Drosophila melanogaster: one gene and its partners. The protein of the gene in region 3 interacts with the protein of the main gene of each other region in a pairwise test. Each region holds a gene or a part of one and is shown on either strand. Other genes may lie near its edges.

Region 1 (10,650 bases), on a different chromosome or scaffold from region 3:
CTATCCGGTGGGTATTGATAACTTAATCAGCAAGTTATCACCTTCGTGATAAAATTGTTTTTATAAAGTAACCATTAGAGATTCAGTACCAATTAAGGCTAGATATGTTTATCTTATTTCAGATACGCGTGCTGAAGAACAGCGAAGAGCTAATCGAGCACATTGGCAAGGAATCGCTGCCGGAGGAGTATGGCGGTACCAATGGACATTTGGGTGAATGTGTGGCCTACATGGAGGACCTGTTGAATAGCTATCGTGGTTATTTCGAGCAGGACTGCAACTACGGGACCATTGAGGAGCTGCGGCACGGCGAAATAGCCACATATGAGGCGGAATTTGGAGCCAATGGCTCCTTCCGTCGTCTCAATTGGGATTGATACCAGCACGGAAGCAGGAAACCTAGACCCTCCCTCCCACAATAGCGTTTATCCATATAAACATTCCAAACTCTGCTGTAGTCGATCAATTAAAGATAACACCCACTTATCAACTATCTATGCACTCGTGTATCTATATCTAACTGACTGCCGACGGGTTTCGGCTCGCCGTTCCAGCTAGTTTACAAGGTGTTGCCCCGATTAGATAAGCGATGCCGCCGCAAAAGCCAATACCATCACTACCACGGCGCTGCGTCAGTGGTTTTGGCATTCAGTTACTAATGAACCGAGCGCCGGAATGGCGAACACCCTGAGAACTCTCGACCCAAAGTTGGCGGCTCTGGCCAAAAGTGAGTGCAACGAGGAGCAGGCGCAGCGAGCGGAGATTATTGCCACCATTAAGACATGGATCACCAAGTCGCCGCACCTTAAGGCGCCCACGGATGAGCAGCTTATCCTGGCCTTTCTGCGGCGTTGCCGTTTCAGCCAGGAGGAGACCAAACGGCGATTCGACAACTACTACTCCCTGCGCAGCGTGTTCCCGGAGGTTCTGGGATCCCGACAGGTGGACGAGGCCCTGCTCACCCAGTTGCAACGCGGGTGGGTTGAATGTTCCATTTGCTATATACCCTTTTTGCCTTAGGCTGCTAAATATTTCACAAAACCATACAGAATACAGCTTTCTAATCAGTGGTGTTAAACGTAACAAACATTATCAATAATAATTTATTCACTATCTATGTGAATTTCTGACTGGAAATTAGTTGCGTGTTACGAAAGACCTATGTTAAGAAGGTAAAGATACTTTATTTAATTTCTATTTCGAATTAACAGAATCCATGTGATACCCATGCGACCTGTGAGTCCCGAGGGGCCAAGGGTTATCATCTCGCAGTTCCGAAACATCGATCCCAAGAAATCGAATCCCCGCGAAGCCTTCAAACTGATCTTCATAATGTTGGAACTATTGGCTTTGGAGTGCGATAATGCCGCGATTTCCGGCTTGATCTGGGTTGTGGATGCCAGAGATGTTACCATGGAGCAGATGATGCAGTACGATCCCTTCCTGCTGAAGAAGGCATTTGCTCTGGTGGACCAATGCATACCACTGCGATTTGTTGAGATTCATATGATCAATATGCGCAAGGAGGGACAAACCATATTCAATTTTGTAACGAAGTTTTTGCCCTCCAAACTGCCTTTCAAGGTGAATCTATCATCAAAAAGCTTGAATTGCGTTAGGATTGGTAATTAATCTCTACAATATTCTACACAGTTCGTGGTCCACAAAAAGTCGGAGGATCTGTACCAGCACCTGCCCAGAGATGTGATGACCATCGAGTATGGTGGCACCAATGGCTATCAGGCAGAGGCAGTGGATCATTGGCGCCAGAAGCTGCTGGACAGCAAGGATTATCTGGCCAAGGATGCCCAGTATGGTACTAATGAGAAACTGCGCGTCGGATTGGCCAGTGCCTGGGCCAATGGAGAACTGGACGGGATGAGCGGTTCCTTCCGCAAATTGGAGCTAGATTAAGTAAGACGACTCTAGTTGCTGTTTTGAATTACCATTTAATTAAGTTCTAATGCTATACAAATAATTTAAGGCCTATTCGGGTCACTGGGTATCTCGTGTATCCTCTTAAAAATAGCTTTACAATTGCCTAAGGTGCTGATACTTAAGTGCTAAGTGCTGCACTTCCGTTTGAAGTTCACGTGCAGAGAAGTGGGTGCAGTTGCTCCGGATGAGGGCGGCGATTGGGTATCTGAAGCGGAGGGCGTGGCCTTATTTTGAATGGGACTCGTGGTGCTCTTATTGATGCTCTGAACAATCAGATTTAGACAGTCCAAACTGGAGCCATTGGCATTGCCATCAAAGTCTATACAAAAATATTTTAGATAAATACATCAAATACTTTTTTTTTTTTACTTTTACCTGTAAACTGACCATATTTCTCCATATGTTTGTTGTAAAAACTAAGTTTATCTTCTAGATAAGCGCCAGCATAGGAGCTCTGCAAGGAAAAACATAAATAAATACAAATGGAAAAATCATATATTTTTTTTTTAGTTGGCCTCAAGCGAAATTGGGGAAACAATAAATTACAGAAAAGTGTCGCCGTCGAAATGACAACGTCAAATTTGCTCCGGTCCTGTCAACTTGGCCAACGAGTGCCATACAGAATGCAGTCTAATGATGAGATTAAGCCAAAATTTATGCCAGTAAAGAGATTCCACAGGCCAATTAAAACGCATTGAACCACCGCACCACACCCATTGTCTGCCCCAACATTGTGGGGCATTGTGTGCAGTGCACTTTAGAGGCAATTAAATTAATTTTGCGCATACGCAGACGACAGACAAGGCATCCGGAGATTCGGTCGGGATTTCATTAGAAAAATTCGCTATAACGCCGATGCTAAGCAAATTATAATTGCCACTTCTGGGTGGGTTTCCTTGCTGCCCCCCCCCCCCCCCCAAATCCGCATCTGGTGCATCCAAAGTGCCGTCACTTCGTCTGCAAGGATCGACAAATACAGGGCATCCCGTATGGCTTATATGTATGTACGTCTGTTTATATTTAGCGGACAACAAAGTACGGAGTGATAAAACAACAGAATAGCATTCAAAGCCGAGTGAAGTGAACTAAACTGAACGAGAGCAGATGAACTCACACTGCACTTTTATAAAGCGATTTATCATTTTTTTCAAGCGTTTAGTGACAGCCTGCGCTCGATATGCCGCAGTCAGCAAGCGGATACACTGGGAAAAATTACACAAAAATAGCACAACTGGGTTAAAAGCAATAAAGTCTATTTATATGACAATATAATACCGAATATTGAAAAATTTCTTTGGAAATAAATTCTCAATTTAACAAGCATGTTCGAAATATATTTTTAGACATGCCCGACTTCTTTCTGTGTACTTGTTTGCAGGTCTTTATGGTATTTCGGTGTATTTTATTTTATTTTTTTTTTTTTGAGCATATATCATGCGTTGTATCTGAATGAAATGCCACTTATCACTTGGGCATTCCGATTCTTCGGTTGCGTAAAGATTTTAAGCCGCTTTTTGGCGCGTTCCCCTTAGATGTTCTCCTCCGATCTGTGAGCGTGTAACGGATATGCGGCATTATGCGATTTGTTAGCCATAAGTTGCATGAGTTTTTACCATGAAATATGCTTTTAATATACTAAACCCACTTTAAAAATATTGCCACTTCTCTGCGAGTTGTGCGGTCAGTCGTAAGATCTCATAATCCATTTCGGAAATATCACCGAAAAAATGCAAGAACTACTTGCCAGATATGTATTTACATTTTTAATAAGATGCAAATAATGTTGATGTTTATTTTCGGAATTATTTAATCAATCTTTCTCGGAAACTGAAAAAGTTACTTTTTGAAACGGGGACGTGTGATAAAGATTATCAGTGGTGGTTAGACCATAAAAATCACACCAATTATCTCTTCTCAATAATTTGCAATATCATTTATAAACTGCTTTCCATTCGTAGAAAATATCTAATAGTGTAGCTGTAAAGCTATTCAAAGATAACAAAAGTTTTCGGTAGCATATCTGTACCTGATAATAGTTTAAAAACTGAATGGTAGGGAATCCGATCAATCCTGACTCACTGTCCAAATGGATGGTTTGCACCCACGTTACCCACATCTTTCCGTGAGTCATTTGCACCGAAAAGCTCTATCTTAAGACTTCAATGATTGCGGCTATGTATTTCATTACGTAGAAATTTGACTGATATAGACAAGGTGGCACTTTTGTATATCGCAAGTACTACACTTTATTGGCGGCGATAAGGAAATTTATGGGCCAACTTAGCGTTCGCATTTCGTGTTGGAAACAGTTCAAAAGGAAATCTTTTACTTAAGTCGCCGAGGTTTATAAATACACGGGCTCCAAATGAATGGATATGGATGAGATGGATGGATTGCCAGGGTCTGAGATGCATTTGAATGTCTGCACGTTTGGCGCTATGCCAGTTTTTAATCAAACTATGGCCGCACATTAATATCTGCCAATGGGGGGCGCAGTCAACATACAAATACGCTAAGTTTTATGGTAAATTAACAAATTTGTACATTAAAATTGTGAGAAACTTAAACAAACTGCATGGAAATTACTCAGCGCAGGCCAACCCGAAAGTCAAATGAAAATGAAAAGAAAAGAGGGCGTTGAAGATGATGGCAAAAATGTTTGCATAATTGTTGACAATTTGTTGCCCTGTCATTCGGGAGTAGATATGCATGTACAACCCGCTCCCGTCCCCCCCCCCCCATTTTTCATTCATTTTCATTTCCCTTCAATGACCAACGACTTGGCCATATCTTGCAACACCTTTCGAAGAAGAACACCCCGAGATCTTGTCATGTTTTTCCTGTGCAATTTGTCAACTGCCACAACGGTTTTGGTTCCACGTCGCAGGGAAGCTATTATGAAACAGAAAAGCGATCGTCGCAATCCACCAAACATGGGGATGAAGATTCTGGTGCCGATTCCTGCTCCAACGAATTTGTTGTAATTAATTTACAACACGATTTCCATTCGGGCTTATAAAAAGAAAATTTATTTATTGCCTTTCACTAAATGCAGACAACGACCCTTTCCCCTGTAAATTCTCCTAAATTCTCCAGCTATTTTTCCTCTAAATTTTTTTTCCCCCGTTCCTTTGATAAAAGTTTGCTCCCCTCACATCTGGGCAAACTTTCTCGATCATAACTCATAATATTCCCGGTTTTCGAGTGAATGTGATTCAGAAATGTGGATGATGGGCTGCCGGCGTAGCTTATTAAGTAGCACGTCAGCGAGCGCATAAATTCCGGTCAGCAGATACAACAGATATCAGATACAGTTTGGGGACTGACTCTTTCGGGGATCCGTCCGTATACATATTCTATTTTCATGTTCGCCATTGCGACGGACCAGACCCTGAGATTTTGATGAATGTGCGCGTCGCCAAAGAAAAATGTACGAAAGCGCTGCTCATGCATGAGAATTTTACGAGAAAATAATTGCGGAACGATATACGCGCCGATATTGTGGGCTTAATATTAATTGGCGGTTAGTGGACAAAACTTACCAGATAATCGGACTGGCAGCTTTTGCCGCTCAAACTGGGCGCCAGGTTGTCGCCATCGCGTGTGGTACTGGATTCCTAAGATAATCAATTTAACCAATGGTATTCTCTATTCGCGGTGAGATGAGTTCACTCATTTACCTGTAGCAGATCCTCCAGGCTCTCGATATACTCGATGGCATTGCGCAATATCTCAACCTTCGGCAGGCGCTGGTTGGGATTGGATGAAGTGCGTCGCTTGAGGATCTCGAAGGCCTCGTTAACCTAGAATGTGAACGGAATAATAATCAATTAATGGCCATCGTTGAAATCATGGAAATCCATTAGGCGTGCCATAAAAACACAGAACACGCGGCGTGTTCCCCTTTTAAGTGGCTCTTTAATAAAACATATTTTAAATTAAATAGAGCATAAAATTTTCAACAATTAAGCCGTTCGCCCGTCGTCTGTCTCTTTATGACAGCCCCCCATCACCATACCCCTTCTAACCGGAGCTCCCACGATTTTCCGCCTTTCACTAATGTCTCTATGTGGAGCTATAAATACGTGTGGTTCATCCAAAACTTTTACGACCGTCGAACTCATAAATGCCGCTGTTTAACTCTTGGTCTTGGCAAATGTTTATGTTTTACGCATGTTGGGTGGTTTCCCTTTCTGCGCGTTATGTCAATGGATCCGATCCTCCCTGGTGGCGATGTGTTAATTTGTGGGGTGCTAGCCGAGCTAATGAAATTACTACAAAGTTGCAGTCCTTAAACGCAGGGGACTTGCGAACTGTGGCGTAATCTATTTTTAAGATCGACCGAGGATTAATAAGCCTGCTGATGGAAAAGGACTCTTGAACAGAGTTCTGAGTGGTATGCCTATATTCAAGTCCCCATAAGCAGTTTTAAGTTATTATTATAATAATGAATTGAATGAATCAAAAATCTACTTTTAAAGTGAACCATTCTTTTAATGAATGATTGAAAGATGAAAGTGCTGTATTTGTATCAGTAGTTATTGCACAATATGTTTTTAATATTTGATAAATCTGAAAATGTGTGTAATGTGAGCATGGGATGCCTACCTTTCGCAGTCTCCGGCGTTCCCTCATAGTGGCCGCTTTCCGACGGTCCACGGTGACGCTCTTCTTTTTGCACGCCTTGCAGGCCCAGGTGAGGCATGGTCTGGAGGATTGGGCGGAGGAGCAGACGAGGGGCGCCAGGACGTGCTCCTCGGAGCTGAGACTGCTGTTCTCGTCATCGTAGTCGGTGGTGTAGATGGGCGACGGTGTCATATTCATGCCCAATGGCTTGTCCAGCTCAACCGGATTATGATTCGCATGACTGTAGTTGCAAGACGAACCCGATCCGTTGGCTGAGATGGAAGCCGCTCCACCATTTCCCGCACTCGCATCACCGACGGCATTGAAGCGGCTAAAGAAATTCTGCAGTGTCTGGTGTGGATTCTGGCCGGGATGGGCTATCGGATTCTGTTGGCTATAGGCGCTAAATCCGTATCCAGGATGTGTCGGCTGACCATAGCCATTGTGGTACTCCTGCTTGATGGTTTGAGCCGCAGGCATTTCACTGCTGCCACTATTATACTTGGTCATTTTTCACTTCACTACGATTTTGTTATATTTTACAAAACAATTTTGGTAGTTCAACAAGTTGCTGAATTTAATTGCTGATACTAATTACGATGGCACAGTTAATTTAGTCAGTTGATTATTACCATTTTTAACGTGGTTTAAGCTCTTTTTCTAGGTATGCTAGGTCATTAACACAAATTTATGAGTTATGGTTACACACAAGTTTTAGGCTGTGGTTTCTATTTAATTTAATTTGTTATAGTTTCACTTTCGGGATTTTTAAAATAGAACCTTAATTAGTTGGTTACACTTTAATGATGCTTTGTAAAAACCTCCGACATTTTCAAAAATATTTTTCGACTTCGATTTGCGGACCGTACGCGAGTGTGTGTACCGCCTTCCGTCGCAATCGCAACACATTTGGTGACAATATCCAAGAATCCAAGATATCGTGGGCCCCCAGATGTGCTCGCGATCCTCTCGGAGTGCGGATGCTGCTGCGTTTTGAGTGGCTGAGTGGCTCTCGAGTGGTTCCTATTTTTAGAGGCGCCCCGCCATTAGACGACATTGGCGGTTCTCTAAGGCAGAAGGACGCTGCCGCAGGCCACGCCCCTCCCCTTTTTTTTTTAATTTTCGTGAGTTTTCAACGCGATTTTCCGCTCAATGTGAAGCGTGTTTGTGAAAGGCTTAGTTCAAATCAAATAAATTGAATTTTACCTGGCCAGCGATTAGTGTGGGTTGGTGGGGGAGGTGGTGGCATAAATTAGCTTTCGGGGAGCTCAACAATTCGTTAATGTGACACATTTAGTGGAAAATCCGGCCCCCCGTCCACAGATCCCATCAATGGCAGCCACTTTTCTATTGAGTTATAGTTGCAACGGCCGAGAAAAAAGCGAGAAATTGAGCAAAAAAATAAATAAAATAGGAGAGGCCGAAATAAAAATAGTCAAAGAATTGTGTTTATTTATCGCTGCTCAGGCACAATATATATCTTTGGAAATCACCTTTAAATCTTCCCCAGCGATATTGTAAATCTTTTGTCTTAGGACCGTGGTTTGCTCGAGCACTTTCCATCTTCATTTTTCCACTTTTCCCTTCTCGTCTTTTTCCATTTCGTATTTTCTCCTCACATTTTCCATCTTGCCGTACTTTGATGGATGCTTTGTTTTGATTCGGTCTGATGGTATTTTGGTGGCAAAGACTATTTGTTGTGCCACACGATAATCCCAATTGTAAATTTAATCATTATCGGCCTTTGTTTTCGGGCAGTGTACTGTCAACGCACAAATGTAACTCAGAAAAGAACGTTTAAAAAATCAAAATCATTAAGTAAATTCGATTTATTGTGTTATTAATTTAATCAAATAAATAAAATACATATTAAAACTCATTCTTATGTGCATATTTGATTTTACTGGCTACTTGATTGAATTTTCCATAATTCCATAATCCACAAAAAAAACACATTCACTCATACAAACAAAATGCATTCACATATTAACAAACACCATACACTAGTCGAGATTCCTTAGCAAGAAAGTTATGGCTTCAAATTTGCCTTTATCCATGAGAAAAATGCTCCAGTCTTTGTGTAAACACCTGGTTTTCTATCTCCGCAATTCTCACTTCCATATGAAACGATACCGGCCAGATATACGATATCCTGGTAATCATTATTAAGGGTTAACATCAAGGGACCTCCGGAATCACCCTCACAGGAGTCTTCTCCTCGAATGCCAGAAGCACAGATTTGTGATTCGTTGCGGAAGAACGATATCTTGTCTTGGCAATAATATCTGTTTTCATAAACGGTGTTATGCAACAACACCTGACTATATTCTCTGTTTTTCGTGTAGCCCCAACCGGCGATTTGCAATGGGTGATTATGCAAGGGGATGGGATCTTTCGGCACACAAATCGGTAGAATTTCGTGGGTATATCTAAGGAAATAAAAACTTTGGTTCATAATAGTCAGAAAATGATGCCTTATATTGCAATACTCACCGAACTGGCGTTTGAAGACGCACCAAGGCGATATCGCTTTCAAACCTTGAGGTGTTGAAATATTGTTCGTGGACATTGAAATACTCGATGCCGATCTCTACAAAGGGGGCAGCGCAGTTTCCTGTAAAGTCGCAATCCGGATTGGTGGTAATATCATGCTCGCCCAGCCGCACTCTCCTGAGCACCAAATCTGTGTTCACCATTTTATCCTTGACCACACAGTGTGCAGCGGTGAGGACGTAGCGTTTGTTAATCAGGGAGCCACTACAGTTGTTGGTCATGGTCGATAGTCTGCGATTCTCGTAGATAAGCATGGCCATCCAAGGATATTCATTTGGCCTCGCCGCTGTGCCATATGCCATTCGATAAAGAGGCGGAGCTTGTCCACAGGACGTTGGTAGAACGTTACCTGGTTCCGGGCAGCAGATGTAGTGGCGCTTATCCGAATCTATTCTTCTGGTATCGATGGCACACTGTCTGTTATCCATTAAATTGGCCCCATCTTCCATCGTAGTATTATGGATACGAAGACACTTGTCCAATCTTATGCATTTTTCATCGGCTGGACAATCTGGAAATTCTATAACTATTTCGATTAGTAAGTGGTTAAATGATAGACTTTTGTTTTGCACTTACCCTGCTTAGGACAGCAGTAGGTATTAATGCCGCATTGCCTGCTCATTAATATGTTCTGGGCCTTTTTCCGTTTAAGCTTTAGAAAAGGGCAGCTATCGCGGCTTCTACATATCTCATCGTATTGGCAAGGAAAAATCTCTGTAAGGGCTAAGAATTAGTAATCGATAGATCGGGTATTATACGAAAAGCATTACCTTGTCTTTGACAGTTTACGTAGACCCTTCTTCGTACCAATGGCTGGAAGTGATCGATATAACATATTTTATTTATTATGGATTTCAAAATATCACTCGTCCATTTCCGGCCATTAAACTGGGGACAGTCATTGAGCATGACGCATTGTTCATTGGATCTTCTTTCATAGCCTGGTAAAGTTCGAAATTAGAAAATAATGGCAAAAGACTTCGATTTGGTCAGCCATTTACCTTCTTTTCGGCAGCAGTAGCTATTATAACCACATTGTTTGTCCCGCAATATTGCTTCTCTGGCCCAACTTATATCCGCCGATTGCAGAAAGTATTTCAAGGGTGGGCATGCTTTAAGGTGTGTACAGTCCTCATTGACATCACACTTTTTCCATGAATTGTAAACCTGCAACTGAACTGAACAAAATATGATCCGTGAAATACATACGTGTACAGAATATAAAAAAAATGGCTATTTGTGCGACTTTGTGTTTCTTGCCACGCACATTTTGAACTTCATTGAACTCTTAAAATGATTATGATAATGATAATGATGACTGAAAAGCAAATTATTTCAACACTATTATTAATTATTCGTACCACGCCCAAATGACAGCGACAGTAGAAACCCTTGTATAAGAAAGCAAACAGATACTTCGACCATGTCAATATGTGGACGTTCAAACTTCGACTGTTCTTAGGATGAAAGTTTGACCATTAGCCAAAATGTATCATATTATAAATTCTGGGAAATATAGCTGGGTATATCCGT
Region 2 (5,786 bases), on a different chromosome or scaffold from region 3:
TCACTGATCCTTCTTCTCTGCTTGTCTCTCCCTCTAGTCACCACATCTTTATGCGCTCCACTTCTTTTGGCGACCCCCTTTTGTTGTTGCATTTTTTATGAATGAATCTCTTGCTTTTTTAGACCATTTTTTAAGTGTTACACTCACACACACAAGCACAGCACTTTTGCGCACTCACTTCGACAAATTGTTACTCGCTTTGTTGTTGGTTTTTGTTTTTATGTTAATTTTTACTTACTCCTGCGCCTGTGCTAAAAACTGAATCTAAATTACAGTGCATAAACAAACGGAACGGGAAAATAAATAAATTATCACACGCAAAACACACACACGCGTCTCCCAAAAGGAAAACAACAAAAACAATAAAGTGCTATCGCCAATCGGCTTAGACACGGCCTATCGATAGTGAGTGTTCGATAACCGTTTGATGCTGTGGACAGCCCATGTGGAAAGTGTCATCGCTAAGTAGCCAGCTGTTTGTGAAATGTTTGTTTTTCAAGCAAAATTAAGCATTTTTAAGAGAAATTAAACAGTTTTACAGTTAAATAAATTGAACATTTAAGATGCCCAAGGTTCGCCGCAGTCGCAAACCACCGCCAGACGGTTGGGAGCTGATCGAACCAACTCTCGAGGAACTGGAGCAAAAAATGCGCGAAGGTAAGGACAAGCGTGGCGGCTTCTGTGATAATGAAAACTTTACTATAATCCTATACGTATATTATTAACCTTCTTAAACAGCCGAAACGGAACCGCACGAGGGCAAACGCATTACGGAATCCCTTTGGCCCATTTTCAAGATCCACCACCAGAAGACACGATACATCTACGATCTATTCTATCGCCGGAAAGCCATCAGCCGGGAATTGTACGACTACTGTCTGAAGGAGAAGATTGCCGATGGCAATCTGATTGCCAAGTGGAAGAAGTCTGGATACGAGAACCTATGCTGCCTGCGCTGCATTCAAACGAGGGACACCAATTTCGGCACGAACTGCATATGCCGGGTGCCCAAATGCAAACTGGAAGAGGGTCGGATCGTTGAGTGTGTCCACTGCGGTTGTCGCGGCTGCTCCGGTTAGATTCCATGTGGACGCATTATTGGCATCTTTATTCGACACAAATAATCCTCATAATACATAGTTCAGTAGGTTCAACTTTAGATTTCGCCTGATTTCTTCATAGTATGTAAATACATTTAAATACAAGCCACAATTATGGTTAATGGCATGCTAAACATCTAAATAGATGCTGCAATAAACCGATTATGTAAACGACAAGGCATCGTTGGGAAATGCGTTCCGATTTGTTTAAAAAAAAATGTAGAAATGGTATGAGCAGACATTTTTGTATTAGAATGTATAGAAAAGATAGAAATTAACTTGTAGTTTAATCAAATAAATAAAGATTATAATTTATGAAAATGTTTAAAAGCATTTAATAAATTAAATTTCCTACATATGTCGAAGTGGAGTTTTGAATATTAACTTAAATATATTCCTTTTTTTATAATCTAGCCATCTCAATATGTGAGTTGTGAAAATTTCTGTAGTAAAATATGCAATTTACGTACGTCCTTCTAATGATTTCACAGCTTTTCTTTAAACGATATATACTATACATACATATATTTTAATTTAATGCCTTGGACAATTTATTGCTGCGCTGACATAATTCAAACTCAATGTCGTTTTCGGGGATGTGGCGGAGTCTCCTTCATGTGCGTCCATTTATCGTCGCCTTGCTCCTCGATTTTCAGTACTCTTTCTAAGGGTATAGTGTTTCTTTATTGTCCGAAAATGGAAGCCCTAGTTCAACATTTGAGTATATAGAAATAAGAGTATATACATATTTCCTTGAGTCATCCAATTCAGCTAGAGTATTCCGGCCATCGGCATTCCCAACTTATTCTCAAGCTGAAAACTGTCAGGCTTCAAGTGTTCCTGCGGGGTTTGGTTTGGTTTTGGGTGGCCAATTGGGATTTGGTCGAAAATGATTATAAATGGTTTTTTAATTATACTTGTCTGCATATTTTCTCATTTGCCAAACAAACGCGGCGCTGTCGATTTTATTGTTCACATGGCAAATGGTTAATGCCGAATGGAAAATGGTAAAATGCGAAAAATGGAAAAATTATTGCCCGTCTGCCGCTGACAGCTTGCCCCCATCTGGCTGAAATGGGGGATTTCGAATTAAAACTGCTTTCGGTCACTAAAAATACTCAATTGTTTTGCCAATTACCCAGCGGAGTTATTTATGCCAGTTATGTAATTCGAGTGGCACACATGTGCAGCGTTGTAAATTGAAATACATGAAAATGGAGCAAGTGGAAAGTATATTTTGGGTACTTGCAGTGTTATAACATTTTACTGCTTTTTGTTCAACAATTAATTGGTTATTTAATTAGCATAAGTTGCTGCTTGCGTCATATTGTTCTATAATATTGCTAGTTAAATATTACATTACATCAGCCAGAGATAGCAACTATTTATGGATTTTGAGTTTGGTCCACCAAACTCTATTACATATTATTCTCAGCCAAAGGGATTTCTGGTTTAACCCTTTGAGGCCTGCTAAGCAGGTCGCTGAACCCCTCATCGTTTCGAGGGCTGTTAAATTAATTAATAGACTAAATGCGGTCGGTTCGGCTGGTTAATCCCACGACAACAAGCCGCAACTTGTTTGCCACCACGTCGAAAGTGGCTCCTTGAAATGGCTACCTGATGCGGGAAACCCACTTCCAGATGGGTTGATCCGGAATGGACAAATAGCAACTTTAGCAGGTAGCAATGGCAATCGATATTGGTGTCTCTTATCGCATAATGCCGCCTGATCCCACCCGCTTGACATGCTCGTATTTGCCCAAGCAGGTTGATTTTCCACATAGCCCAACATTTGTTGACTCATTTCGGCTGCTAGATAAGGCGCGAATCGGCAAATGGATGGTGATAGACGAACAGCCCAGCTTGACCTTGGGATTATTGTGGATTTAATGACGCCCTTATCAGTTGCATTGAATCGTATCTCTTGGCTTAGAATATCTTTTATATTATGGGGAGTATTTGCATACCGACATACATATGTATGTAGGTAGCCATTGAAGAAACCCACATATTGGTTCGCACCTGATCCTTTTGTTTTTAAATTTGACCAATTATCAGGTAGACTCAGTGCGTCTGCTACCCTAATCCCTTTGTTTACATATCTGCGATTCGTTGGCCAATCCGGATGCAGGTAGGCGGTGTCCAGCAAGGCGACAAGATTGAGGAAAACAAGATCATAAATCCCAGTGACCGCCATTCATGAAGGTAGAACCCGCGAATAACCCATCCAGTGTCCAATGGCAAGCTACCTGCGGAAATGGTATAAAACGGGGCTGACATATTGCCTAAGGCAGCATTAGCACACGAAATCTCGACGAGAGCAGTCACAGACCACGTCACACATCGAAAAAAATCACCATGGAACGGAGTCATCTTTACTTGCCCACTCTGAGCTACGCGGCCATGGGTCACGTATACGCACCGTATCGCGGAAGCAGTTCACCCGCACTATCGACAGCATCGTCAACATCATCGAAGCCGGAGCAGATCGAGGAGCTGGTGTCCCAGCAGCTGCATCATCTCAAAATGCACTACGCCGACGAGGAGCAACGCTACGTAGACCAGATGCTCCTGGAGAATCCCATTGTTGTGGAGCGCCGTGCACCGCCGCCGCTGAAAACGGAGCTTGCTATGGATTGCCGCGGATCGGGTTCCGGATCAGGTTCCGGTTCTGGTTCGGATGTCAAGGATGCCCAGCGTCAGAGGGCCGAGTCGTGCCGCAAATCCCGCTACAACAACAAGATCAAGAAGGCCAAGCTGCGCTTCCGGCACAAATTCGTCAGCGGGCAGCTGAAGAAGAGCGCCGTCATGTTGGACACGATGCGGGATGTGATTGCCCAGGCGGAGAGGCAGCTGCTCGAGCGGGGATATCCCGCCGCCACACTCGAGCGGATGCGGGCCACTTTCGGCCTGGAAATGGAGCAGTGATATCATAGTGTAGCTATGTGTCGCAGGAACGGATCCCTGACTAGTCCAGCATTAGCCATACCACTTTTTTTTTTTGTTGACTATATCTAGTATTTATCTAAGCATATTATTAAATTTTTAAATAAAATTAAGAATCATATTGAAAACGAATGCTTTCTTATTCAAATATTTGTTATAGGTTCACACGATCATATGGAGTCAAGGATAACTTGTTAATTTCACTTTACAAGAATTTCCCATAATTTGGATGCATTTATTCTGCATTTAACGCATCGGCAGTCTTGGGGTTTCCTTCGCCTGGCCGAAGGTAATCCCATCGGAATTGGGCCAATGCAATGCACCCATTTCGACTTGCTTAAGTTCAGTTCATTTGATCCGACATGATTGCACTTCGCTTTCCCCGTTTCACGTTTTTCCCCCTTTCCATTCTTTTTTTCCCTTTTTTTTTTTGGCTTGCGAACAATTTGCGTTGCCAAAAGCAGCAAATGCAATGGAAGTAATGGCCTTAAGAGCAGGTTTCTGTAAGAGATTGTGGCTAAATTTAGTGGGGCTACTACTGCAAATAGCACCCCACTTTCTGGTTGGTGTTTTCATTTAAGAACTGCGAACTGAACTTGGAAGCTTTACTAAATGCTTGCCAAGGGTATATACTATGTATATATATATACAATATAATTTTAATAACTACATATATTTTTTAAGTAATTTCTCATAATATCTTGATGTCTGCGTAATGAGAAGGATAAATATAGATACTTCTGATTGTTTTTTACCCCAAAAAGTTATTCTATTTCACGCCGTATCTTTTCAACTCTTTAGGTATCAGTTAGTCGTTACTACTGTTCACAGATATTTTTTAATAGCACAACATTAAGAATGAATGGAGGAGCAAATAATAGGAATGTAAAAACGAGAGTATAAAACGCATTTCGCCACAATGGCCAATCGAATTTCAAGCTGATGCTCGCTCAAAAATTTCATTTTCACGTGCCAGGTTACAAATGATTTCATCGCTGCAGTTTTCCTCCGGCTAAATCCCCACTATCCCCCCATTTCCCTGGATTTTCCAACTTTCTGTTGCTGCTTCTTAACTACGCACGTCTCACTCTTATTCGTTCACTCAAGTGCACACAATTCAGCGATTCAACGTCATCAGTGCGGGGAAAGGTACTTCGTGTACCTAACTGTGGTACAGCATTAATTTTGTTACCTAAAGGCGATATTATGAGCTACAAATATATGTATATTAAATGAAATTAAAAAAAAGACTTTTCTACTTTAAAATACGGAAAACTTTTGAAATAATTTTCAATATTTGAGTACAGTTATTAATGTGCTGTCCACCACTGTTTGTCATAATACTAAATGGTTGAAACTTTGCACCCACTTCACCCATCTCTTTCTTCCCGCACAACGCTCTCTCTTTCACTCCCTCTTGTAAAGTGCCGGAAAAGAACTTCAATTTGATTTTATCGCTCGGCCATAAAAGCTCAGCTCGTTTGTGTTGAATGCAGTCGAAGAATTTCAGAAATGAAAAGAAAACCGGGAGTGATGAAGGCCATCCAGATGCTATGGTAAAAATGGGTAGTATTACCAGAAGTAGATGGCGCTGCAAAACAGATCAGTATATCGTTTTCTGTAAGAAAGTATCTAAAGACGAGTATCTGAAGGAAAGTATTTGAAGGAAAGTATCTGAAGGAACGAATCTGAAGGAACGTATCTGAAGGAAAGTGTTTGAAGGAAAGTATCTAAAGGAAT
Region 3 (7,573 bases):
GGTTTTTTGGCCCAAAAGTCCACGACTCCACTCGGCATTGTTTTCTTTTTGTCCCCGAAGAATGGGCCTCAGACGACATACTTTTAAGAGCTGAAATCAATTAGTTAATTGATTAACAATGCCCCAATGAGCATTGAGGGGTCACAAGGCGTAGGGGAGGGAAACGACTGCGAGTTGTTGGCGAACGCAAACGGGAATAATTCATAATATAATTATATCTGAGTGGCTAGTCAGCTAATTAAAGTGGACTGCTTGCAGTATGAATTGAATTGGATTCCTTTAAAATTCATGTAAAAACTTATCAGGTTAATTCACTTTCTAGTTAAAGTTTATCAGTATTACATCTGAATAATCATGATCATTGCTAATCATTTTAATTAGGGAGGACACTTAAGCGTTCTTATTAAAAGATAAATAAAGTGGTTGTTGTTTTCAGTTGGGATAATTCAAATATTTTGTATCACTAAAACGTGGTAATATTTTCAAAAGAAACAATGCCGTTGACACATTTCTTGATCTTTATGTTTAAATCATCTGTTTTATAAATAGCTAAGCTTCTTAAAATAATCACCAAGAAATTATTTAAGTAGCATACATTTAGCATTCTTTGTTTACTTAAGGAGGTAAGTGCGATCCCATATTGTACGTATTGCAAAATGTATATGTATAATAGGGCTTGTACAAGATAAACTATTAGTTGCTTGCTTTTATTAAAGCTAAAGACTTATTAAATTATTTAGAAAATATAATTTTTTAGGATTTACAGCCTATAGTAGATAAAAAGCTACTAAAAAGTTGTTGAGACTCATAAATCTAAAACATAAAACTATTTCTGGATCGTTACGTGTACTCAATAATTTTGGAATATCCTTGGGTTTATGAAGTGGCCAACTGTGGTTCGAAACTATTTATCTTTATCTGTCCAATTCGACTGTTTTTTCTCTGCTGCCATATTCCGCAGTCTCTCTTTTTGGCCCTGTTCATTGGCATTTCTGGCCATGCAACGCATCGTGGTCAATAACTTGCGTTGGGCTATGCGAGGCGACATCTGTACTGCTTCCGGGCATTACCACTTGGTGTTAAAGTAAAAATTGCCCAAGCATGCGTATTAAGCATGAAATTTATATTAAAAGAAAAGGGGGAGCTGGGAACGGGGAGCGGTTAGCAAAGGGACACGCATATTTGTAATCCTTATGGAGTGCAAACAAATTTCTGTGTTGTCAAGTTGCTCTCCATATTTTTGCTCCTCCTTTTTATGTTGCGAATTGGCAGAATACACTGAGAAAAATGAATTGATTATGTTTATTTGTGCCTCCACTCAAGGTATACGCTAAATTTCATATTTTGAAAACACTACGCATATATCAATTGATATGAAGTTGCATTTATGTTTGGATTTTTATTTTCGAACTAATTTAATTTTGTGATTATTCTAGTAATTGAAATGGCAATAAAACCGAAAATGACTATGTGGACATAACACTTGTTCCGATGTGGTGCAGTGTCGCAGTTGCAGTATCAGTTGCACCACAGGGCCACCATCCGAATCGACGGTTGCACCACCAGCTGTGCACAAATTGCACTCCAGATATTTTTATTTGCTGTGAATATGCCAGCTCCTCCTTTTGATTCGCTGCACCTCCACGCAGACCGAAATGCAGCTCCGATATTTATTTGTAACGGAAATGTAACCGTTAAACCCAAAAGCGTGGGTCTTCTCAGGGTGTTAATCTAGTAGCCTTAATAGATAACCCACCAGAGGCACCTTATGTCCGACTCTTTCTCATGGAAATCGAGTGCTGAAGCCGTTCTTCTGTTTCGGACTTCGTATCGTATCGCAGTAGGAGTAAAATTAACCCGCTGGCCACTTGAGTTTCGGGGGCCATATAGATCCACTCGTAACCCCCGACCAAGTTGGCCGTGTTGTTGCTGCTTCGCGTTCATTTGTTCATCCGTTTGTTGGTATGTCAAACAAGAATTATGATCGGCTTAGCCACATGCTGAGCCCGAGATCTCTCCCCCAGCCATATTCTTCTGCTCATTCTTTAGCGGCGAAGAGGAGTCTCGCGGTCTGCAGTCTTCCACCTCGTCTTCAACACAGGTAGAGCTTTAAGTGTCTCCACTTTGTGTTGAAATGTATCGCGGATACGCACCGGGTTTTCGGTCCCAGCAGACCCTCCATTCAAAAGTGTCGTCTTGCCCGCCCGCTGCGATCGGATCTTCTCAGGGCCCTAAGTCGCTGGGCCCCCTAATGTTTGTAATTAAGAACTTTCACACTCGCAACAATCGCCTCGTAAACGTGCCAGTGTCTCGATAACCACATACCCTGCTCCTCCAAGGTTTAGTGTCAAGTTTGTGCCAAGGGCTATCCAAAGGGCTATCGAAAAGAAAAAGAACCGATACAAAGTCAGCTAACCATATGTGTGCTGATACAGCCGGGTATTAATTAGAATTTTTTCATACTCTTCTTTGGATTATGCCTGTTTTTTTGAGCAAATTTATAAAGCGAACACAATGGCCAAAAGAATGGCGTAAAAATATTCGATTGACATCTGGTGCGCAAAATAATTTCAGAAAACTCTGTTTGCACAATTGGGTTTTTTGTGTGCTGGTCCAAAGTCGATTTCTATATGATGGGGGCGCGTCACATTAAATTCAATTGTTGTCACATTTTGTGTAAATATATTAATAAACATACGTTGTTTTTCCCTATTTCTTTTACTATTATTTGCTCTAATTGCGTCATTTCAAATTCTCTGGTGCTTTTGACTCTCTTTTCATTGCGGCTTTTCACATACCTTGAGTCGGTTTTCATTTATATTTCGAAATTAAGTTAACCAAACAACTTTGAATGCCCCTCAGAGAAAGAAAACGAGCTTGCTTTAATTCAAGTGGAAGATCGAAAGCAAAAGTAAACACACCTCGAGTGGGGCATAAAGATTCCGACAATGATTTCGCAGAAAATGAAAAGAGGAAAATCCTGAAATTATCCAAACAATAAAATCTGTTGATTCCCCTTGTATCTGACGCACTCAGACTCATTATGTGGAGCTCTCTCCGTGTTTACCTAATTGATGGTCAAGAAAAGTTGTTCAAATTGCGTTCTGAACGGCGGTGAATTAAATGAAATTTGTAAAGGGTTAAAGGGATTTTTAATTGATTTTTTACCTGCTTTCTGACTTGAAGTAATTTCAATTAACTTGGAAAACAATTTTAAGACTTATGCTCAGTTCTATGGGATCAGACTTTATCATAGATCATATTTTACTTTTACTAAAAAAATGTAAGTAAATGTGTTTATATGTAGTTTTGCTAATTAAAATCAAAGCAGCTAAGTTAAACAACTAACTAAAGAATCCATAATGTTTTGGCTTCAATGAAGTTACCTCGAAGAGTTCTGCATTTCCTTTAAATTTCCCGTTTTCCGGCGATTGGAATCAAATATTCGATGGCAGCATATATGCGGAATATACTACCGAATTATTTGGATAATATGTGTTTATGGTTTGTTTTTGTCGCTTATGAATTCCACTTTCCGAACTGCCATAAAATGTTGAATTTGTTGACTTTTATGGTCTTGAGCTGTTTCGTAACAGAATCTGTTTGACGAACACTTTTCCAATGGATATCACTAGTTTATGTTGACGTGTGTTGTTTGCTTTCCATTCATCGATAAGATACTTATGGTGCATCCAATGTTTTGATGCTACAAAGAATGGAGCTTGTTTGATTTGAAGTTTGCAAGATAAATAAGTAGCTTAGGATTTCAAAACTTTATGAGACTTTTAAATCGCTTTGCTTTATTTGGATTTGTATTTTGTTTCATTTCTATGAGCACTTTACGAGCGTTGAAAGTTGATATCATATGAGCACTGTTTTTTGAATTGGTTTGTGTTTTATTATTTAGTTAAATGGGAAAGAAAAGTTTGGTTTGTTTAGGATTCACTTTTACTTTGGGATATTTACCGAGAACAGTTTGTTTATGTTTTTAGTATTATCCTTTGTATTTTTTTTTTGCGAATATCGGTTGTTTCTTGGCGTTTCTTGTGAGGGGGCTAAAACCGTCGCTAGCTGTTGGCTGATCGGCTCTTCTTGGCCAAGTTGGCTGTTGCTGCATCTAAGCGCGCTTTGGCGGCTATTCAACGGATCCGTTCCGACGCGTAACTAAAAACTTGGCGCGCGCTCTCTTCAAAAACACACGAGCCAAAAAACGAGTCTTTCAGTCACCGAATGGGGCGGGGGGCGTGGCAGGTGGGGCGGTGAGACAGCTGCTATGTAACAGTATCGCTCCACAGAAGCACACACACACATACTCAGCAAATCCTCTCTGCAAAAGCTTGTGTTCTCTCTCGCTCTGGATTAATACTTTTTCCGAGAGCTTTCTTTCTTATTGGTTTGTTAAATGTTTTTTATAAGCCTGTTTATAAAGAAACTACATCCACAACAAATTCAAAATTGAGAGCAAAAATATCGTTGTATTGGTGAGAGAGAGGCCCAACGACCAGGTGACATTTCGTGAAGGAAAGAATAAAAAAAAATCCAAGAACTGCGACGTCAGGAAAAAAAAGACGAGAGCAACAGAGATAAAAAATGTCAGACAGAAAGGGATGCAGAATGCAGAGGCAGGGCGGTCAACCAGAGCAGGTGTTGCGTGGGAGTGCGAGCGAGATAAACGGAGTAGCTACTAAGCCACCATAGCCATTTCACTCTAAACAACGAGTCTCATGATGGGCGTTTCCAATTGGAATGCTTCTGGTTGGGGAAGGTTTCGTGTTACATGAAATGCCAAGTGGAAAATGGGGGTAAAGTGGGGGTCTACGACGGTCTCTTTACTGGTAAGAGGTGCCACCATTGGGAGTGAGCTTTTCGGGAGTTTCTCGATTATTTACCGCATTTGCTTAGAGACCAGCAAAGAGCGTCCAAAAAATAAAAAAAAGGTGAAAAACAAACTATCGAAAGCAAAATCAACTAATCTTAATGGACATTTATTTTTGAATCGAGCTGAACCGTGGAGATCTGAGCCTGACATCTGGCCCGCAACTACGATTCGCCTTTGGCCAATTCCCAAGCTCAAAATGGTGGATATGTTAACCAAGGTGGCCATAGTCCAAAATTGGTCCAGACAGACCACTTTGGGACACTTTATCTTTGGCTCAGACAAAGATTAAAGTAGTGTCTGTTGTAGATTCGCACATAGTACTACATTTTGATCTAAAAAACACGTTCTGTACTGGAATGACAATTAACGATTGAGTGTTTTGACCCACATGAAATACCATTTCCAAAATTAATTTTTTTATATCTGTGCATGATGACACCTGGACTTTAGGAGTATATAGTCCTGCAAAGTGCCTACTATTGCTTTGCAATTTTTCGTGTCTACATTATTGTTTTGTTAATTTGCTTTGGTGGTGGTGGCGTTGCCAGGACAACGGCTCGTAACTCCGGAGTCCCAACTCCATTCGCATTTGGTCGGGCTTTGTTCCAGGACTTTTTGTGTAAAGGGTTTTGGGTGGGCCAGGGCATTACGCAGGTGTTGCCATTGTTTCAGGGCGGTTTTTAGCGCATTTTGATTTCCATTCACTCTGTCGTGTCGAGTTCTGTCGTCTGGCACTTTGGCTTCGTTTTAATTAACAACGAACTAATGACAAATGCAAACAGTGTGTACCTGCTATAAGATGAAACTACCTACTAGCACTCTAATTTAATTTGACTCTAATGACCTAAGCCTTTCCTACATGGGAGATAGTGGAAAAGTCTGAGAAAAGAGGAGTACTTGCTGCCTTTTTGCCAATTGTCAGCAAACAATTGCAAGTTGGAAACAATGGCGCACATTTTTCCAGCCCCAACTTGACGAACTGAGTGAGTGACGAAGGGCTTGCTGGATGGATAGATGGATGGACTGCAACTGTTCCATTTATTTGGACCTGGTTTTCCCCTCTCGCTCTCTCGTCTTCTACCGCTCCCTGTCGCACTCTATGTACTGGTTGTGTCCATTGTCTTTGGCTATGTCCCCTTCTCTTTCGCTCTGTCTGTCTCGCTTCCTCAGTTAGTCAGCCATTGTAATTATACACTGCACTCACCTGAATGCCTAAAATGGCTGTGCTAGCTATTGAATGGGGTTTGTCAGATATTCAAGTTAAATGGATAATTAGTTTTTCGTTAAAGTATGATAAAATACACCTTTTTTTAAAGTTCCCTTCGTAAAAATCTAAAAAATTCGTTATAATATTCATGTTAAGCTACAATATATCTAAAGGTATAATAACCTGAACAGTGAACACTCCGTTGGGGCGAATACAAATTTCTGTTTTTCTACTACCATGTCGACCATTCTCTATCCCTTTCATCACCTTACCCCCTTTTTTCGCAGTGCATTTTTCCATTGTCAGTTTCTGTTTTCTGTTTGTCTATCTGGCCATTGTCTGTTTGTCATATTTATCATGGCAGTTGCTTTTGCATTTGCCATAGCATTCTCTGCACTTGCAAATAAATGTTAATGAGTAGTTAGACAAAAAGCGCTGACAATGCACCGACTGCAACTTAGATAGAGAATATTGTGATGAGAACAGCCAGATGGGGGATTTGCCATCTTGTTGAGCCCGTCTTCAAGGCCCTAAGCCTGCAGAATGAAGCTCAACAATCGCAACGAAAAAGATTTCAATGGAGCTCTAATGCCTAAATCGTTATTGTTGGGGATGGATAGGTTGACGAGGTGGATGAGGCTTCCACACACTCCTGACAAGCTCCTGTCGCGGTGAATTGAAAATTTTCTAAAGACCAGGACAACAATGGGGGCAGAGATGCCGCCGTTGCCATGTAAATTTTTGCACTTTTTGTCGCTCATTAATGTTAATCAAAAAGCAAAAAGCACGAGGAAAATCATTCAAATTTTCGGTTGTGTTTGGCAACCGCTTGGGACTTCTAAAAGAAGCCCTTTCCCCTTCCGCAATATATTTCACCGTGCGGATTTTGCTCTGCCCTTATAGATAAACATCGGATACAATTTCATAGGCCACAAGGCAAACAGATTTGGTTCAAAAACGATCGAAGCATCGAAATCAGCATCGATCCATCGATGGCCAAACAATTGTCGCAAACAAATGAGATTGCCATCGTCGAGCCTGAGTGCGTTTAATCCTTGCGAAACCTTCCAGATTCACATCGCAAACAATGCCCAGATTTGCAGCAAATTGATAAACCAAAGGAGAAAAAAAGACCGTACGAAAACTGACAAAACCAAATGCAGTTATGACACACCGATTGATAGGCCAGATAGCAGATAAACAGGAACTCATATGGTTTCGGGGTTTGTTCTTGGGACATGTGGGGAATTTCGTAGAAAGACCACAAAAGGTACACGTTTTTTTCACATCCGTGCATCTAGAAAAAAAAACTGTTGATTAGAACTGTTCAGCAGATGAAAATTGGTCAGATAGAAACTATCTAAATATCTTGCTCCAGAGGAAAAGAATGAAAATAAATACTTAAAATTTTAATACATATCCATTGTATTTTAATACATATACATATTGTAGTTCAATATTTTTAGGGGAAACATATCGAGACATAT
Region 4 (8,015 bases), on a different chromosome or scaffold from region 3:
TTTATTTCGGCAACTACCATATTTTTTATGCCCGCAAAAGGATTGTCTGGTTGTCCTTCTGCTGGCCATGCTCGAATGCCCGTTACGGAAAGTGTCATAAAAATGCCTCGAATTTGGAATGGTTTTCCACTATTTTCCACTGTTTTGCACACACGTACTAAGCGGAGGCGATACAGTGTGAGAAATAAGTGTAAGTACAATCACAGTACATAAATCAAAAGAGTTCTTTTGTTTATACGAATATAAAATATAAAACTGTTCTAATTTTAACCAAGTATTCTTGAAATATTCTCTTAATGCCTATTGCATTTTTCCCAGTGCATAGTTTTGGGGCTGCGGGAATTTCAAGGAGAAATCAGACATTTTTATGACATTTCCCTGACTACTGTTTATTCGCTTTCTCCACGCCGCCCGCCCTTTCTTATTTTTCTCGAGCACTTTTCCGACATTTTAAACATTTCTTTTTCGCCGCTGGCACTTGGCCCTTGTCAGATTTTCCCTGCGCTGCATCGTGTCGTTTGTGTATTTTTTATGATTGTCAAGGATTAGATATAAATGTTTTATGATCTTGGCCCGCTACCGCGGTGCTGGACCAGAAATTGTGTTTTAATATGATTTTACGGCTTTGTGGTAACTCGAAATACGTCCAGCTTGATTGGCTCCGATATGTCGTGCCTGAAATTCCAAATGATCCGATCCTTCGGTCTGATGCACCCTTTTCTGGGCTATTCTCTCCAAATGGGATTTGGGCTCCTCTGGAATTCGTTTTCCTGGAAAACGCCAGGCTCATCACTGTACAGTTGTTTGATGTTCTTAGGGCTGACACGCCCCCCTGCCCCCGAAAACGTCGGTCAGTTGCTACCAAGTCAAATTTTCCCATTCCCTACAAGAAAAACGCGTGAAAATGTGGCCACAAAATTCGATGCCGATCCATCATAATTTCTTGGGTCGCGTGGATTTACAAGCGCCCAAATTATCGGCAGATCGTTTTGGGTAAAATATGAAAATAACGCAGAGCTGTGAAATCGATCGATGGTATTCTTGGAAAAGCAGTTAGCGATGGCGCTTGTCCCTCAATCGAGTTGCCAGAAATTAATTACATTTAAACGCTTCGCTCCCCCATCGAGTTTTCCCCGAGTTTGTGCCAATAACACAAAGTATATATATTGGAAAAACCGAGAAAATGGGTCTGAAAACACACTCGATTCAAATGAATCCAAAACGCACACTCTAAACGCCAACTCATCATCATTAAAGTCAATTTTTCTCGTCTTCTGTTGCCTTGTTTTGTTGCTACTCAACAATTTCTGGCCATCGAATCGAACAAAGGAAAATTTGCCACGTTTTCCATTGTTTTCCCAGCGAGATAAACAGAAAAAAAAACAAAATCGACGAAAAGACAAAAAGTGAAACTGCTGTTTTTTTTTTTCTCCATCCAATTTTCAGCTGAACTGGCATCGGGAATTGGACTGGCATACTGTAGATTTATTTTCTGGATGGAGGGAGGTTCGAATAGGTGAAATTGCATCACGCTGTGCCTCGGTTTCTGTGGAATTGTTTGCAGGCTGAAAATTGTTGATTTTGACACCTTTCGGGCTGCTGCATTGTGTTCCTCTTTATTTCCATCTAATAAATGCATTTGTGCCCTTTGTTGGCTGCATTTTTTACGGTTTTCATTCCTTTTTGCGAACTCTGGCGGGGGGTCATCAACTGCCGAGTCCTCCAGTTGGCCACTTGACTGCCGCTGGTCCTGCGGCCAGAGGATATCTTTATTCGCTCATTAGCAGCACGATTGTGCTGGCTGCAGGTCCTTCGAGTCCTGGAGCTCCTGCGGTGAGGTACTCAGCTCAGTGGGCGTGTGAAATTACCGAAAATACAAGGTAAATTGCGTTTTCTTTCAACTCAATTATGCTTGATTCGTCGAAATGTTGGCCGTCTGATTGCAAGGATTCTTCTAACCACAATTGATTAAATAGATATCAGAGTATTACTTCTAAATATTTATTTAATTTAATATTTTTGATATTTATATTTAATATTTATCATTTCGACCAATACTTTTTTTACTTATAATGAAGCTTTCACAAAATCAAAACTAAAGCTCAGATGCCGAGTTTCAAATCGAATTAGCTACACACACGTTTTGCAGATTAGACCGCAAATGAAACCGACTCAGCTAAAAATCGCTGAACTTTCGACAGCATTTCGCCTTGTAATCAAAATCCATTAGTCAACATAATTACGCTTTAATGGACTCGAAAGTTGTTTATGCCTTGCGTCGATTCGAACCGAAAGCTATGGGTAAATATGCGTGGCTTAATTAGCGGCCATAAAAATTTGATAGATTTTAATCTATCGCACAAGCTGTTGTTGTGCTCTCGCCGATTCCTAGCCCATTAATCTCAGAAATCCGGCGACGAATTTGACGGCTCCGGCTGATAACAGAGTGTGAAAATAGCACTACCGAATATTATTCCATTGTTTTTGAAAAACTCTTGGGGTTTGATAGGAAATGTTATAGTGTTGACCGAGGAAACGAAGTGAGACATTTGGCACGTCCCGACAATTGATGAACCTGCTCTGATTTTGATTTGGAACTGCGATTCGGACACTACATAAATTATGCAAACTTTGTCGTGTGCCAAAAAAAAAATGTAATGCCTGAAAATTAACATTTAAATCGTAGCGAAAAATAAACCCGGTAGCACATTTCATAAAACTGTCCCGATCAAGTTTCGTAGATGATTTATGGAAACAGCAAGTTTGAAGTGCATCCGTGGTGTGGAATTGCTAATGTGGACTGGATTGTCAGCTGTACGAAAACCGGGACGTTTTAAAATAGGGAAAGTTAATATATAATATCATAAATTAAATAAGTATTTTAAATTATAAATTTTACGCCATGTTGTTGAATGGGGTTTACGAACTTTAAAAACACCATTAACAAAATACTTATATTCCTTAATCTTTAGTTTTATGCAGAAATATATAAAGAGCGTCTAACAAATCCTTGCTAAACTATAAATTTGCACAACAAAAATCCCCCTGAGCAAGGGAAATATTTAAAACGCACATCCTCTGTAAGCCTCGAAAACCCTTTTCGAACTTCCTGCAAATTTGGCCAGAGTCCGCAAACAGAGACATTTTGCCCACCTGGCATTAGATTTCCATTTAGCGCTCGTTCCGGCCCAGAAATGCAACCGCAAAAACAAGAACTATGAATGGCAGTTTAAGCCAAATTACACAAAGGCCAAGAGCAACAACAAAGTCGTATAGTGGTGGCTGTTTGAACGGAAGCCATATGCAGAAAATTCGGTAAAGGCAGCGCACCGAACTGGACCCGCCCCTCGAAAAGCAGCCATTTCACTCGCTCCTTCGCAGCTAGGCCATATCTGCAGGGTAGATAAAATCCACAAGGCGCGCGCAAAGAAGACGGCCATACTACACCGAGCACAGTGCCTCCCGCTCTGGCCCGATAAACTGGTTTGGCCTGTACTGGCGAAGAGAGAAGACTCGCCGCAGCTCAGCTCTCTTCGAGTAGCGCACACTTGGTGGTGTTGCCGGGCTTACCGGATTTATTCAGACATCGAACGTCGTCGAGAGCACACGTCTATATTCTCCGTCTTCCGACACAAAAAATAAGAAAAACGAGCGCGTCGATCGCCGTAGAGCACAAGTCTTGACAACCCGAGTGTGTGTGTGATTAATAAAGTAACTAAACGTATATATGAAAGCGTTTCCAATGCGTCGCTTAGTGTGAGAAAATCAACGAAACATAGAGAGTTACAAATAAGGACTTCCCAGAGGATTAGACAAACAGAACAGATTAGATTAAACAGAAAACCGTGCTTAAACCCTCGAAAAAAAAGCCGCCAACATAGCCGAACTAACCGCCGTATTTATGACTAAGATGATTCCGCCGGTTCCCACCGCCGCTGCAGCCGTCATGATGCCCACACCAAAGCAGAAGATCGGTTTCAGCATCGAGTCCATTGTGGGCAATGATGTCAGCACCGCCGGCGGCAATTCGACGCCCGATCTATCCGGTCCCCAGAGTCCGCCGCCCGGCGAGCGCAATGTGCCCGGTTCGCCGCCCCAAACGCCACCAGCCACACTCACCTTGATCCCAGGCTCGCCCCCGCACCATCTGATGGCTCCTCCTGCCCACGGACTGCCCTATCCGCATCCGCATGCTCAGCAGCAGCATTTGCAGGCACCACATCCGCATCCGCATCTATCGCCTGCGCAGCAACATGTGCTCCACCAGCACCTCCTCATGCAGCAGCAACATCCGGGCACACCCAAGAGCCACCAGGACATTCAGGAGCTGCTGCAGAGGCTGCACCACAATGCCGCCATGGCCAGCGGCCTGAGTCCGCTGCAGACACGCCTCTCCCCCGAAACGGAGCAGCCCCAGATGGCCGTCTCCCTCAAGCGGGAACGCTCACCTGCACCACCTGCCATGGAGCAGGCCGAGAATCCCGCCCAGCGCATCCAGCCACCGCACACGCCTCCCAAATCCGTGAGCCCCCAGTCCTCGCAGCCCTCGTCTTCGCCCACTCTGCTGATCAGCAGTCCACATGCCACACCGCCACAGCAGCAACAGCAGCAGCCGCCCCCGAATTATCCAAAGCCCGCCATGATGCATCCCGGAGGAGCTGGACCCATGATGATGCCGGGCATGCCGCCCGCTGGACTCGTTCGCCCCTTTCCCATGGGACCCGGAGGACCACCGATGCCGCAGGGTCAGCCCGGCTTGCCGGACATCAAGGCGCTGCCGCCCTACATCAACGCTCCGCCGGAGCTGCCGCCTCAGCACAATCCGCATCTCATTGCCGCTGCCCAGTTCCAGATGGCCGCCGCCCTGCAAGCGGGTCATGTGCTTGGTCCAGCGGCCGCCGCCGCTGCTGCCGCCGGCCTGCCGCCCCATGCCGCCCAGTTTATGCCCAATCCAGGCATGGCCAGGGATAGCTATCAGCTGTACCCCTGGCTGCTCAGCCGCCATGGAAGGATCTTCCCACACCGATTCCCTGGAAGTAAGTATCTTTTGGAATGATTCTTTATATGCGAAACAAAAAAAGGAGATTTAGGGAAAAAAATAGTTCTTGGAGTCCAAATTGAAGCCAAAAAATGAGAAATTTCTTTAAAGTAATAATTCTAAACCTTCATAAATGTAATAAGAAATGAAAGATGCTAATATGTTTTAAATTAGTTTTGATGAGTCTCTTATAATTGCATTATATTGTCATTGCTAATTTATTGCTGTGAGTTATGATCTTAAATACCGATGACTAACCGAAACCCTTTCTTCTTTGCCTCTTTCAAGGTTTCCTGGTGCCCCCGTTCCGCAAACCGAAACGCATCCGCACCGCCTTCTCGCCGTCGCAGCTGCTGAAGCTGGAGCACGCCTTTGAGAGCAACCAGTACGTAGTGGGGGCAGAGAGAAAGGCCCTGGCCCAAAACCTCAATCTGTCCGAGACGCAGGTGAAGGTGTGGTTCCAGAACCGACGCACCAAGCACAAGCGGATGCAGCAGGAGGATGAGAAGGGCGGCGAGGGAGGATCGCAGCGGAATATGCACAACGGCAGCGGCGACGAGGACGACGACGAACTGATCGACATGGAGATGGACGAGTGTCCCAGCGATGAGGAGCACGAGCTGGACGCCAGCCACTGAGAGAAGCGGCCAGGAGATAGTCCTGCGGCGGTCCGTGAGTTCCTTATCCTGGCGAATGCAGTCCAGTTCCAGTTATCGAGGGTTCCCAGTCGAATCTCGGCGAGAGTAACATAGTTTGTTTTGTTGTGATATATTCTTAGAGCGATCCCAAGGCGTTAGGCTAAGTGTATATAGATAGGAAAGTATTAGAGACCCTTTCTCTCCATCCACACTTCTCTCTCAAGATCCGTGCCAAATCCTTGCGAAGTTTCGAGGTTGAGTAGAGCTCAAAGAATGCAAGTTGTTTCCTTTCTTTCCCAAATATCAAATGCAAAAAAAGAAACACTGAAAAAATAAACCTAGGCTAGACACCACCAACTATAACTGTACAAATTTTATGACTTAAGCCTGTAAATATTCATGACATTACTTTTAATTAGTGAATTCTTCAAAACAAATCGTACTCGATCCACTAGCTATTGTATAATTCTTGTATATTGTATGACGATCTAGCATTTATTTATGTTTAGTCTTAAGCACGAACCTCTAGAGTCCCTCAACTGCAGCTGGATATTATTTAAAGCCGTCTAATATAAAGCCCTAGTTGCTAGTAACTACATCCTAAGCTAATACGATTGTAAGAAACACAAACGAATATGATCATATAAAATATAAAATATTCATTATGAAAAGAAATCGAAAGAGAAATGTTTGATTGATTTATGTGTTGGGGGCAACCACTTATTATCCAGAATACTAGATAATTTATTTATAATTTAAACAATATTGGTATGTTTTGAGTTATGGGTGTGAACTTTAACTTCTCATTCAGCTTTATTACTTTCCTTCAACAATATTTTACTTTAGTTTATTTTTTCTTGTTTAAGCCTTGGCATCTCCGCCCCTTTTTAATTGAGTTCGTCCCACTGTGTGACAGAGTAAAAAATTATGCGCCGTCAATTAATTAGCGTGTGACATTTAACATTGTTGTTGCTGTTTCTGTCCACTGGAAATGGTGACAGGTGCGCTGGAAAAGGGGATTGAGGGGGTGCGGCCGCGACTGAAAAGAGCGGGATAGCTGAAGGAGGCGGCTATAAAATGCATTTAGCGATCGTTATTTCTTATAGATTTCATAAGCATTTTAATTGCACAATTTAAAATGCAAATCGTGTTTTATTGTAGAATTTAATTGAGCGCAGTTCGTGTGAGATCAAAGGGGCGGGGGTGGATGCTGAACGGGGGCTTTTGGGGGTTGGGGTGGCTTTGGAAACTGGTTAACAAGCCACTCGAGGTGTGCTAATGATCTAAAAGCCAAATTTATGATTATTGAACCACAAATTTATGCGAAAACTGTGGCGGTATATAAGCGCAGTTTTCATTATCGCCAAATCGGCTATCAGCTAACTGAAATCGGCTATCGAATGTGGCCTAATGAATATGCAGTGGCTAATTGCAATGGGCAAACTGCAAACTAGATTGGTCCGGCTGATATGGCTAATTAACGGACATAACGAGTCTAATTACTAGCTGTTAACAGCACTAAATTGTGGCACTCTGTCAAAGGTCCCCCCCCTTCAGTATTGAAATCAGGGGGGGTTTTTGGGGGAACCTATCTATTGCAAACACAAAGCTTACAATTGCAATAGTCGTAAATCAGAGTGGGCAAATTATATGTTTCATCGGTGATCGAAATCGCGGCTTTAGCCATAAACCTTTCAGCTAATGGCAAGTCTTGTTTGCTTAGCAAACACGCACCTTTGATGGAAACTTCGAGATTCCAATTCAAGATTCAAGATACACGGCCCATCGCGAGCGGGAACTGTAATTAATAATGGGGCTGGGGCACGCCCCCTGCATATGGGATTGGGGGCTTATCTGCTGGCCTCCTTTATCCAATATCACTCTTCAAATGTTTCTGTAGAACAAAACACACACTGGCGCAAAGGGACGGAGAGAAAACGAAAGCCGAAATCGGAATGAAATCCCTTGCTGATAATTCTCGGAAATTAAAACACAATTTGGTAAGTTGTTGGCTGTTGATGATGTTATACATATATCGAGCATACATATGTTTGTACAACTTGTTTTGCCTCGTGGCTTCGCTTTTGTTGTTGTTGATTTTCGAATGCCTCAAAAGGTTTGTTATGCGGCGCGCCCCAAAAAAAGAGATATAGTAATAATAATGCCAACAACAACGCCGCATTCACTTTATGGCCAGCACCACGCACCACAACTGGCTGCCCGTTGTTATTGTTACTTATCCCATAAAGTTTATTAAGTAATCCAATTTGGCTAAATTAGCTGTGTCTCGTCTCGAAGTTATTTCGGATTTTAATTGAGTTGCGGCTTGAGTTTGAGTT

Evidence for each region.
Region 1: the proteins of Sox21b (region 3) and nau interact in a two-hybrid assay, tested with the Drosophila melanogaster proteins (one large-scale study listed by BioGRID).
Region 2: the proteins of Sox21b (region 3) and sisA interact in a two-hybrid assay, tested with the Drosophila melanogaster proteins (one large-scale study listed by BioGRID).
Region 4: the proteins of Sox21b (region 3) and ems interact in a two-hybrid assay, tested with the Drosophila melanogaster proteins (one large-scale study listed by BioGRID).

What each region holds. Positions count from the first base shown.
Region 1 is NT_033777.3:23,710,883-23,721,532, forward strand, and holds nau (nautilus), read right to left. Parts: upstream 7,476-10,650; 5' UTR 7,075-7,475; coding exon 6,547-7,074; intron 5,742-6,546; coding exon 5,619-5,741; intron 5,556-5,618; coding exon 5,481-5,555; intron 2,432-5,480; exon of another isoform or gene 2,393-2,431; coding exon 2,314-2,392; exon of another isoform or gene 2,258-2,313; coding exon 2,064-2,257; 3' UTR 1,932-2,063; downstream 1-1,931. Other genes in the region: CG10301 (uncharacterized protein), read left to right, coding at 1-7, 123-377; CG10300 (uncharacterized protein), read left to right, coding at 676-977, 1,212-1,584, 1,654-1,914; CG10232 (uncharacterized protein), read right to left, coding at 8,594-8,993, 9,058-9,637, 9,694-9,831, 9,888-10,058, 10,119-10,295, 10,479-10,542. UniProt on the Drosophila melanogaster protein: May play an important role in the early development of muscle.
Region 2 is NC_004354.4:11,319,963-11,325,748, reverse strand, and holds sisA (sisterless A), read left to right. Parts: upstream 1-3,391; 5' UTR 3,392-3,458; coding exon 3,459-4,028; 3' UTR 4,029-4,170; downstream 4,171-5,786. Other genes in the region: l(1)10Bb (lethal (1) 10Bb), read left to right, coding at 564-657, 739-1,079. UniProt on the Drosophila melanogaster protein: Involved in sex determination and dosage compensation. Required for proper expression of Sxl in embryonic somatic cells. Also has an essential function in the yolk nuclei. Involved in endoderm migration and midgut formation.
Region 3 is NT_037436.4:14,127,172-14,134,744, forward strand, and holds the start of Sox21b (Sox21b), read right to left. Parts: upstream 4,154-7,573; 5' UTR 3,967-4,153; exon of another isoform or gene 3,387-3,966; intron 1-3,386.
Region 4 is NT_033777.3:13,898,278-13,906,292, forward strand, and holds ems (empty spiracles), read left to right. Parts: upstream 1-3,575; 5' UTR 3,576-3,901; coding exon 3,902-5,036; intron 5,037-5,326; coding exon 5,327-5,676; 3' UTR 5,677-6,343; downstream 6,344-8,015. UniProt on the Drosophila melanogaster protein: Acts as a homeotic selector gene controlling antennal and mandibular segment identity.